Neurospora crassa OR74A: one gene and its partners. The protein of the gene in region 1 interacts with the protein of each later gene in a pairwise test. Links are inferred from orthologs where the notes say so. Each region holds a gene or a part of one and is shown on either strand. Other genes may lie near its edges.

Evidence for each region. The genes of interacting proteins can lie anywhere in the genome.
Region 2: the proteins of NCU02563 (region 1) and NCU07170 interact in a two-hybrid assay, tested with the Schizosaccharomyces pombe proteins (2 studies listed by BioGRID, with this or other methods). The link is inferred for Neurospora crassa OR74A from reciprocal best matches to the Schizosaccharomyces pombe genes tfs1 and SPOM_SPAC1F7.10.
Region 3: the proteins of NCU02563 (region 1) and NCU06702 interact in a two-hybrid assay, tested with the Schizosaccharomyces pombe proteins (2 studies listed by BioGRID, with this or other methods). The link is inferred for Neurospora crassa OR74A from reciprocal best matches to the Schizosaccharomyces pombe genes tfs1 and yop1.

The regions. Positions count from the first base shown.
Region 1 is NC_026501.1:2,742,738-2,746,358, forward strand, and holds NCU02563 (transcription elongation factor S-II), read left to right. Parts: upstream 1-1,308; 5' UTR 1,309-1,548; coding exon 1,549-1,680; intron 1,681-1,760; coding exon 1,761-2,516; intron 2,517-2,581; coding exon 2,582-2,590; 3' UTR 2,591-3,120; downstream 3,121-3,621. Other genes in the region: NCU02562 (hypothetical protein), read left to right, coding at 1-427; cys-12 (cysteine synthase 2), read right to left, coding at 3,241-3,621. UniProt on the Schizosaccharomyces pombe protein: Necessary for efficient RNA polymerase II transcription elongation past template-encoded arresting sites.
Region 2 is NC_026505.1:6,359,225-6,362,526, forward strand, and holds NCU07170 (hydantoin racemase), read left to right. Parts: upstream 1-1,378; 5' UTR 1,379-1,593; intron 1,594-1,694; 5' UTR 1,695-1,742; coding exon 1,743-1,853; intron 1,854-1,917; coding exon 1,918-2,598; 3' UTR 2,599-2,797; downstream 2,798-3,302. Other genes in the region: arp2 (actin-6), read right to left, coding at 60-491, 716-740; NCU17050 (hypothetical protein), read right to left, coding at 2,982-3,248.
Region 3 is NC_026505.1:4,331,004-4,334,398, reverse strand, and holds NCU06702 (yop-1), read right to left. Parts: upstream 2,243-3,395; 5' UTR 2,065-2,242; intron 1,869-2,064; 5' UTR 1,824-1,868; coding exon 1,770-1,823; intron 1,687-1,769; coding exon 1,471-1,686; intron 1,406-1,470; coding exon 1,380-1,405; intron 1,309-1,379; coding exon 1,213-1,308; intron 1,156-1,212; coding exon 1,041-1,155; 3' UTR 506-1,040; downstream 1-505. UniProt on the Schizosaccharomyces pombe protein: Required to generate and maintain the structure of the tubular endoplasmic reticulum network and the vacuole. Induces high curvature in membranes and causes membrane tubule formation. Involved in membrane/vesicle trafficking.

The sequences.
Region 1 (3,621 bases):
CACAGCAGTGCAGACGGTACTTAGCGAGGAGGACGTGGCGTTGGGAACTGCGGCCGTATCCGCTGCTCAGTCGCTTGGAGGCGCTATCTTCGTGTCGGTAGGAAACAGTGTATTTCAGCATCAGTTGCTCAAGGCAGCCGACGCCAACTTGCTCCCGGGAGTCGACATCAAGCAGGTGATCGAGGCGGGTGCGACAGCGTTCCGCGACTTGATATCGGCGGAGCAACTGCCCGCCATGATTCGGGTTTACAATAAGGCGATTCAGGCGGCGCTCATCATCCCCATTCCGCTAGGAATACTCGCAACTCTTATTGCGTGCTTCATCGAATTCAGATCGGTGAAGAAACTCATAAAGACCAACGAGGAGTCAGGCACATGCAGCACTGAACTTTCCGACCAGAGGCCAGGTACGAGCGCACGAATCTAAAAGGAGGTGTATCAGAAATCCGGGTCCAGGCGCATGGGATTCTTGGGGCGATTCATTTGCAGAATTTCGGAGGAGTAAATAGGCTCAAGAGGAGCACCATATGGATTAGAAGTAGGGGGTAGGTCAGCATGATTGCCGAATATTCCAAGCAATATTCTGGAGGTCAGCTCAAGAATCTGTGTGGAAGGATTTATGTCACCCTGCGACCTGAGTTAGCGTATTCTGTGACGGTTTGTGAGGGACGACTGAAGTTAATAGTAACTGTTGTTGTGAAGGGTGTTTCCTGTTGTTGGGGCAAGAATGACAAGTCGATGTGCAAGTGGTGCGTTCAGGGGAACAGTAAACAAATGCAGCCGAGCTCCTTCAAGTGCATACCATGAGTACTGTAATGTCTGATAGATACTACATCAACAATGACAGGCAGTATGTTGAGGGTTGCACCGGATCCGGAGCCCGAACAGCCGGCCGCGAGGTGCACACAAGCCTGTGACAAGTTGGAGCTTGTAAATACATAATGTTGCCTAGCGATAAGCAGCATCGCTTTGCCATATATTTGCAGATCTAGGGACCAAAGACCTCTCCTCTGTTTGCTACTTGCTCTCATTTCAGCTGCCTTTCTCGGATTCAAACAGCAGCCGTCAAATATTTGGCAAGAGATCTCACTCTCGTGGAATTGAAAGGAAGTCTTTTGTTACCACGGTTACCACAGGTGCACGGTTAGATTCGGACTGCCTGTTTCGTCTGTTGAGCGATTGCTATTTGACGGTCTCGGCCTGTCAGCCCTTTTGTTAGTCCATTCACTTTGTTCGGTGTGGAACCTGAAGACCGGCAGAGTGGGGCTCTTTCTTTGAAGCTCCACTAACATTTCTCCAACGATCGCTGCTCACTTTGCGACTCTTCTACCTGCTCGTCATTGCTTTTCCCGCTCGACCATCTTCATCCGCAACATCGTCCAGGACAAGCTCACTCGTTCTTGCTAAGCCTTGGCTCGATATCTATCTGACCTCGTAGTAGAGGGAGATTTTCGCATACCCAATCGAAGCCGCCGATTACCTGACGCGAACGCTATCGCTTGCGCATAGTCACACACGGCCAGCCTAACGTCATCTCCCACTCACACCATGGATGACCGAGAACTCGCCGCGCGCATCAAGGCGCTCTCCAAGGCTGTCACCAGTGAACCCCCTGCGACGGTCATCAAACTTTTGGAGGAATTGAAAAGAGATGCAAAGCCGACCGAGGAACAGCTTCGCGTGAGTCTTGCTCTGCCCTCCCATTAGCGCAGAGCGATCTATGTGAGCGGTATAAGTTCTGACAACTTTGCCCGTCCTAGTCGACGAAAGCAGGTGTGACCGTGGGAAAGCTGCGAGCCAATCCCAACAAGGACATTGCCCGTATTGCCAGCGAGATCGTCAACAAGTGGAGGAAGCTCGTCGAAGCTGCGAAGGAGGCGAAGAAGAAGAGCCAGGCCGCCGCGGCCTCCGGTGCCAGCTCCCCAGCACCCAATGCATCCCCGGCGCCCGCATCATCCGCGTACAACAAGCCCTACACTGGTGACGTCGAGAAGCGCCATTTTAAGACAGACAAGGTCGACATCAACCGAACCTCGAGCCAGACGCGCAACAACACCATCGGTGTGCTCTACAACGGCCTCGCTTACCGAAGAACTGAGTCGATTGAGGAAGTCGTCAAGCGTGCTGTCGAAGTCGAGAATGCCCTCTTCAAAGCTTGCAAGGGCGAAAACCAGGAGTACCGGAGTAAGGGTCGCACCCTCTTTACCAGCCTGAAGCGCAAGGACAACGCTGCGTTGGGACGACGAGTGATGTCGGGCGAGCTGCCGGTCGAACGCCTTGTCGTCTTGTCGGACAAGGAGTTGGCCTCGGAGGAACAGCGCGCTAGGGATGAAGAGCTGGAGAAGGAGAACATGAAGAAGGCCCAGGTACCCATGGCGGAGAAGTCGATCAGTGATGCTCTGAAGTGCGGAAAGTGCGGACAGAGGAAGGTGTCGTACAGCCAGGCGCAAACACGGTCGGCTGATGAGCCTATGACGACCTTCTGCGAGTGCACAGTTTGCGGAAACCGCTGGAAGGTATGGTTGATACACACGCTTTCTTTGACGGAAGTCAATTTGATCGCTAACAGTTGCATGTTTAGTTCTCTTAAATGGCGGGGCACAACAAGCTCCTTCATCACATTCCTTTTGGTATGGCTTGGGCCGCAGAGTGTGCGTCTTTTTTTCTGGCTCGATATGTTACTTTGAAGGGGAAATCCGCCTGTTGCACGCTTCGTTGGCTGATAATTCATGACTGGATCACATTCGCGTTTGGAAGCTCATTTGGCAGCAATATGAGATTGAGGTGTCTCAAGAATATCCCTCCACCTAGAGAGCACAATGAAAGAGGAGGAGGGGGTGGGGAGGAGCGGAAATGGAAAACAAAGTTACTCGAAGACGGAAGACGCTGTACCTTCGGGAACTTCTTCAAACATCGGAGTATGGATCATCTAACTTTTCTTATTATTTTTTATACCCCAGCGAAGAGGTGAGCGATGAATCACTAGCTACTTCATGACTTGGAAAGAGGTAGATATTGAGACGGGCAACGACCTACTTAGACCTCACACCACGCATTAGCAGTAATATAACCGTTAAGAGGCCATATGGCCGATATGGCTCAACAAACGTTTCTATGTGGACCTGTTGGACTCTCGGATGAGATACAATTAGAACATATCACATGTTTGATGACAGCAGCGAACTCAGCAAGCCTGACTCAGCAGGCACAATATTTACGTTGTTCAGTCCGTCTCAATTCCTACCTCTTCAATTCCTCTAGCCCCAACTCCGCAAAAAGATCCTCCGCTTGCGCCTGGGTATCGTTTTCCAGCCCCATATCGCCAATATGCTTCCAGAACTTGCTGAGATGTCTATTGCCCGAGTCGCACAATAACGTCACCACCCGACTGCCTCTTGGTAGTTTCATGGCTGTCACCACCGCCGCCACGCAGTTAACAGCCGTGCTACTGCCGCAGAAAATGCCGTCGTGCTCCACCAACCACCGAGCCATCCGGCAGGCCTGCTCATCTGTCACTCGCACGGCATCGTCAATCAGCACCCGCCCGGACTCAAAGTTCTCCGTGATGCGGTTGATGCCGATACCCTCCACCATCGTGTCCACCTGCTGACGCCGGCGTGT
Region 2 (3,302 bases), on another chromosome or scaffold:
CGCGTTGTCTGTCAGCTACTTGTTTCCTCAAGTCGCCGTGTAAAGGAGCGGTGACATACCCTGAGCATACAATGCCAGCACCGCCTGGATAGCGACATAGACACCCCCAAAGTCGTAGCGCTCAAACATGACTTCGGTCATCTGCTCCCTGTTCTTCAACGGGTTCAAAGGCGGCTCCGTCAACAAGATCTTTCTTCCCCGCGTATCGACCTTCATCTTCTCGTGAAAAGTGTAGTCCCATAGGTGCTGCATGTCGTCCCACTTCTTGACGATGCCGTTCTCCATCGGGTAGCTGATTTGGAGCATGGTACGGGCGGCCGCGGCCTCGTCACCGCACATGATGTCTTTGATCACAATGTCGGAGGAGTCGGAAAGCGATTTGGCTTCTTCGGCGCGGAGAATGGGGCGGCCGACTATCGAGGGGTATTGGAATTCGGGGAAATTCTGGGCGGCGTAGCCGACCTTGAGGAAGCCGGTACCGCCATCGAGGACTGTGTTCGAGGGGGGAAGTGTTAGCTGGGCGCTGTGCTCATTTTGTTGTTGTGAAGTGGAAGTGATTGAGGACGGAGTCCGACGGCTACAGCTGCCATGGCGACGGTGATGACGCGGTCAGGCAGATGGGTGGGTGGTGGTGGTGTTGGTGGTCGTCAAGGTAGCTTGAGCTCGAGACACCAGATGGATAAGGGGTTGTTGGCGGAGAGAAGAGCTGACGTACCAATGGGAGCGTCGGTGTTGGCCATGCTGGGCGGCTGTTTGGTTTGGTAACTTTCAATGGAGTTGCGAATAGCTTCGTCGGGGTTTCGAATATCGAGTGTATATCGGAGCTAGAATGGAAAGCTCCCGCGGGTGAATCAACAGGAACCAAGTGTCGGTGGTCCCGTCGGTCGGTCGGTGCAGTGGTGTCGGTGCCCTGTCCGGGTTACGGTAGCGAAGTGGACTACGGCACCGTAATTAGCTGGAGTCCAGCGCGGTAGCCTAGCTGGGGGGGTAGCATCGATATGTGGGGTCATTCGCTAACTGCCAAGCTTTCCTTCAAACAGGGCGCCGCTCGTCTGAGCCAAAATAAAGGAGACGAGCGAGCAGGCTAGGTAAACCAGTTCACTAGACGTCAAGATCATAGAAAAGACCGCTGCAAGACCGTGACAGGGAATATAACAATTCAAAAAGACCTCAGCTAGAGCCCTATTTACACATTTTCATTCTGTAATTGCCTAGAACTTGAGAGTCAGCAGTATACCCAAGGAGCCAAGGTATCATGTCAAAGGTCTCGATTATTTTGACCAGGACGAGCGCCGATGACAAGCGGGTCTTGGCAGGATTCTGGACCCCAAGGAAGTGGCAGGCATTAGGGTACCCACGTGATACCCCGCATGAGACTCGCACTTGTACCTTCAGTAGTACATGCACCTTGTTGGGCATCGTGAGAGATCAGACGGGATGGATTGTGCATTTGAGAGTGGAGATTGATATTGGTTCTTCCCGTCCCTTCTTTTTTTGATTCTTCATTTGTGGTTATCAGACCCTTTGTTGCCTTATTCTTTCTCACTCAGGCCGTCGATACAATCGGTATTTTACCAACTCATTACGATACTAGTAGGTTGTTCCCATTCAGGTTCTACCATCGTCAATCTTTCAAACTGAGTACTTCATGATACCTCCCAAAATGGACTCAGACCTGACTATTTCCCTCTCAGACCATTTATCGATTCACCTCACTCACTCACCCCCCTTCCTTCGTCAACATGACTACCGCCCAGCAAGAACCAATCAGGATCCTGATCCTCAACCCCAACTCCTCCAAGTCCATGACCGATGGCATGGCAAAGTCTATTTCCAGCCTAAACCTCCCCGACGTCTGTCTTCCCTTCTCTCCTCCACCCCTAATAACCGAAAACGTGGACTAACACCCCCCTCCAGAACATCAAAATCACCTACTACACAGCCCCTACCTCTTGTCCAGCCAGCATCAACAACGGCACCGACCTGGATACCTCCGCCACCCACGTCCTCCAAGACCTCAGCAGCAACCTTCAACTCCTCAAAGACCACGACGCCGTCCTAGTATGCTGCTACTCCGTGCACCAACTCGTCCCCGGCCTCTCGGAACTCGCTTCATCCAACGGCTTTCCCCTCTCCGTCACGGGCATCTTTGAAGCATCCGTCCTCACTTGCCTGTCGCTGCTCACGGGCCCGACGAAGAAATGGGGCATTGTCACGACGGGCAAGTACTGGGAGGAGCACCTGACTGTGGGAGTCAAGAAATTCTTGGGTCAAGAGGAGAAAGGGGGAAATAATGCAAAGTTTGCCGGGGTGCAGACGACGGGGTTGGATGCGGGGGATTTCCATGGAGATATTTCCAAGGAGGTGATTGATGCGAAACTGGCCGAGGCGACCAAGAAGTTGTTGCAGGCTGGGGATGTGGAGTGTGTGGTGATGGGATGTGCGGGCATGGCTGGACTGGAGCAAATCATTCGCCGGACTGCGATTGAGCAGTACGGCGAGGAAAGGGGGAAGAAGGTCATGGTTGTTGATGGAGTCAGAGCGGGAGTTGGGCTGGTGGATGAGATGGTGAAAAATAGGAGAATGTTTACCCAGTAGGTAGGGACGGAAAGGGAGTGGAATTAGCTTTGAAGCTGGAGATTTCCTTTCGAGCGATTTGTACGCAAGTTCGTCGCAGTGCCCCCTGCCTTTTTCCAAGCTCTCGGGGCAGAAGTCACATCGTATATCATAGTTTGTTCTCTCAAGGCTTCATTCATGAATGCAATACATACAGTCTAGTACTGGTTGGTCTGTTAGTTCGAGACCTCGTGTCAACTTTCCTATGCGTTTTCATGGCTAACTAATGTACAATCTAACCTTGGGCACGCCATCTCTAACATTCAAAATGCCAAAGCAAATCCAACTAACTCCTTTTGATTTATCCATATAACCTTTAGGACTATTCGAAGTAGATTTTGTCTAGTACACTATGAACTCCCCCCTTATGCAACACCAATAGCACTATAGTAGGGCGGTGGTGGTTCTTGTTCTGCCGGTGCTGTGCGGGTGTTCGATAGCAGCAGTGGTTTGTCGGGTGATGCAGAAACGGGTTTCCAAGTGATGATGTAGTATCCCATGTCAAGCGGCCAAACAATCAGGAATATCAAGAATACCAAACAAAATGTTGTGAGCTGATACCGCCGAGTTTTGTTGTTTGCGTTCGGGAATTCCGTTATCGAACGTTCACCGTGCATGGCCGTCCATATCATCTCCGATCTGACCCAAAATCTCAGGATACTCAGGGCCAACCAGACAATGATGCC
Region 3 (3,395 bases), on another chromosome or scaffold:
TACAATTAACGAATGTTTGAGGTCGGCAATTATGGTTTCCCCTGGGTTTCAAATTTCACCCGCGACCTCGAAACGAGCTGAAGCATGCGCGCTCGAGGTCGTCAAGACAGAATATCAGTGGATGTTCTTGATTGCTGTGGTCAGCAACTGCCCTGCCCGGCCTGGGCAACTTTTGGCAGGTGGCTACCACTGGAACTAGTAGGTCGGTTGTTAGTGTCAAGTACCGTTAAAGGTATTGTGGTACGCTGAGGGTAGGGAGAGGGGAGCGTATGCCGATTACTGTGTACCTCTAGGTTTTGCACCTGCTTAACAGAGCTCAAAGCTCGAGCCATCTGATACCTACCTCTAGATAGTGTTGTACATCCTGTCGAGCTGTAGTTTTACGGGCAGCAGCCATCCAAATTGATGGCTTCCAGTGGATTTCTGAATCACGGAAAACAGCAGTGTCGTTGGCCTTCCGCATACGGTACTTGTAGTCATATGAAGAGATATCGATTGCTCACATCGGCGAAGAGAAAATTGAGGTGGCGCGGTTATGCTTTCTATACGTCGTCTAGATGTCAACAAAACCCTTCCTGGGCTGTCCTGGCCAGCAGACATACATTGCAAGCATGTGGTGTGCCCCATTGCTTCGTCTACACGATGGCCAGCTATGGGCCTTTCACGTCGAACACATCTCAGTGTTTCAGTGATAGCAACCCCAATGCAAGGAATGCTTCATTACTGCCACTTATTCAATCGTTAGATACCAAATATGTCCCTACTTCTCTAGACGCATCAGGCTCAATCATCCTGCCACCATCTTCTGTAACCACATGTCCTCTTATAACCACCTCATATCTCCAACATTTCCAGTTAACAAACTATCCCTCTACCCCGATTTTGTTGTGATAATCTTGCACGCGCGTGAATGGTTGCCAACAAGTCCAGCGCAAAGACTTGATGGCCGTGCATCTATCTGCCTGTGTATCCTCGGGCCTCATTCAAAGCGGCACACTTTGTAACGAGCGGAAGAGGCCCGGCAGTTGCCCATAAGACGCTTAGTCAGTGTGGACGGCGTCAGCCTTGGCGCGGAGGCCGCTGGCGGTGGAGCCATTTTGGAAGTAACGGCCAAGGGTGGGGGCGAGGAAAGAGCGGAAGATGGTCTCGGCGCCCCTGTTGACATATAAGCTTGTCTTCTTGAAAGTCTGATAGAGGCGGGAAACCACTTACTTGAAGGTAGGAAGAGAGAGCCAGAGGAGGAAAACAAACTTGAAGGTGAAGTAGAAGGGGAACCAGTAGACGACGCTGATCAAGCTCTCAATGACGCTATAGCCGCGTGGTTAGATATTAAGCGCACCAAGTCAACATCGAACGCAAAGCCAAAGTGGAATGCTTACGTGAAGAGAGAGAAAACAACCCAGTACTGTGAATGCGGTGGTTAGCATGGACACCATAGGCAAAGACCTTATCAGGCATATCCCGACTTACAGTGAGCCACTGGGTATCATCCTGCTTGGAAGCGGTAAAGAGGGCATTGAGCGAGTAGTATCCGGGGAGGACGAAGCCAGCGAGGTTGGTGAGGAGCTGGCCGCCGAGGTTGAAGATGATCAGGAAGAAATAGAGAGCAACGAGACCGATGACGGCATAAGCCTTGGGAACGCCGGTGGTCTTCTCGAGGTTGTTGAGGGTAGGGTACTTGGACAGCTATTGAGGCAGGTTAGCAACGCAAAATCCAACGACGCCGTGGCCTGGCCGACATGTCTGCGATCCGGCTGCGGTTTACGCACCTCCTTATCGAGCTGGCCGATGTACTGCTGGGCGCGGTCCTGAGGCGAAGACATTTTGAGTGTTTGGTGCGGTAAGCAAGTCTATCGATCTAGAGCTAGCTGTGATGTTTCGACGTCAGCAAGATGCAAAGTTGAAGTTCAGGGGAAAATCTGAGTCGGAACTGGCGGGGAAGCTGAAGCTGTGACAAAGTGGGTTGGGCAGCTGGGAGGGCTGGGCCTAAAAATCGCAGCCTGCTCGGTGAACACCCGCACCACCGGCAGAGAGGTGACGGGAAGCTGAGAGAAAATTGCTGACCTGGCTTTCGAATTCACCGTAACGATGCTGTGAAGTGCAATGTGTCGTCTGACCTTTTGCGGTTAGGGGTGATGCTATCGTGGAAATGGCAGTTGGAGTGTGGGAACGGGTTGAAGTGGGCTGTGGGCTGTGGGCACAACGAACAATGACGATTGATACGTGTGCATTCAAAAGGGGATCATCCTGTTCTCAACCCGAAACTTGCCCTGCCCGTGGGGCCGCAAAGCTTCCTCCCGTTATCAACTGCATCTGACTGGTTCCAGAGCCCAGTGACGCCACATCGGGAGCTGTTTGACCAGGATTGGTAGACGAGAATATGGTCGAGGAATGGCTTGAGCGTACGGGTGATAAACTTATTGACTTTTGGCTAAAGTCATCAACAGGTCCGATGGTGTAGTTGGTTATCACGTCAGTCTAACACACTGAAGGTCCCCAGATCGAGCCTGGGTCGGATCAACATTCAACTTTTTCTTTTTTGTCCGTTGCACATTCTAACAGTCTCTCATTGGCCTGATGCATCTCCTTCTGTGCCTCGCCTAAGCTGCGAACGGCTCGTTTTTCTCTCCATTTTGAGATCATCATCATCCTGATATAACTTTCTCTTAACATTTCATGGATCCACACAAGCAGCTTACCGTTTTGGTCGCTTCTTCCCGCTTCTTGTAAACATCTACCATGGCCAAATGCGGCTAAACTGTCACGGTATCCGTCCAATCTTCAATTGGCCATGGAGGTTCGAAGATTTGGGTAGTAAGGAGAGTGCGTTACTCTCTCGAGGTTGCCTCGCCTGCTCTACTCACTTTGCGCTTTGATCTTTGAGACAGGCGGCCATGACAACTTGTGGACGTTTGAAGTTGAGTATCAGAACTCATGACATGGACCAACATGAAGCTTTTCGAAGCCCCGCGATACCGCTACTAGCGTTTTCGTGCAATCAGCTCCACCTCATGCGGGTGGGTGTCGGCCGCCGCATGTGCAGCGCACTTCACATTTACTAAAGAAAAGTGTAATCCTCTGCCAGATGGCTCACCAGGAAAACAACCAGTTTGATCTCTCCAACGTATCTATGACCAATATCACTGAGGGAGAGATCAGTTTCCCCTCGTTCTGCGAGCGGTCAGACGCGAACATGCTTGCCAAGTCAATGCTGGCGCAGTCTCTCGTCAACGGAGTGAAGTACAGTGTTTGTTCTGTGATCCTATGGCGGGATGACAACTCCTGTCAACCAGAAACGCAGCCAGGCATCCAGGGCAGTAATTCATGGTGGAACGTCATGGTGTAGTGTACCGGATGTCTGGAGTGACTGGTTCGGAAAAGGCATAGTATGTCGA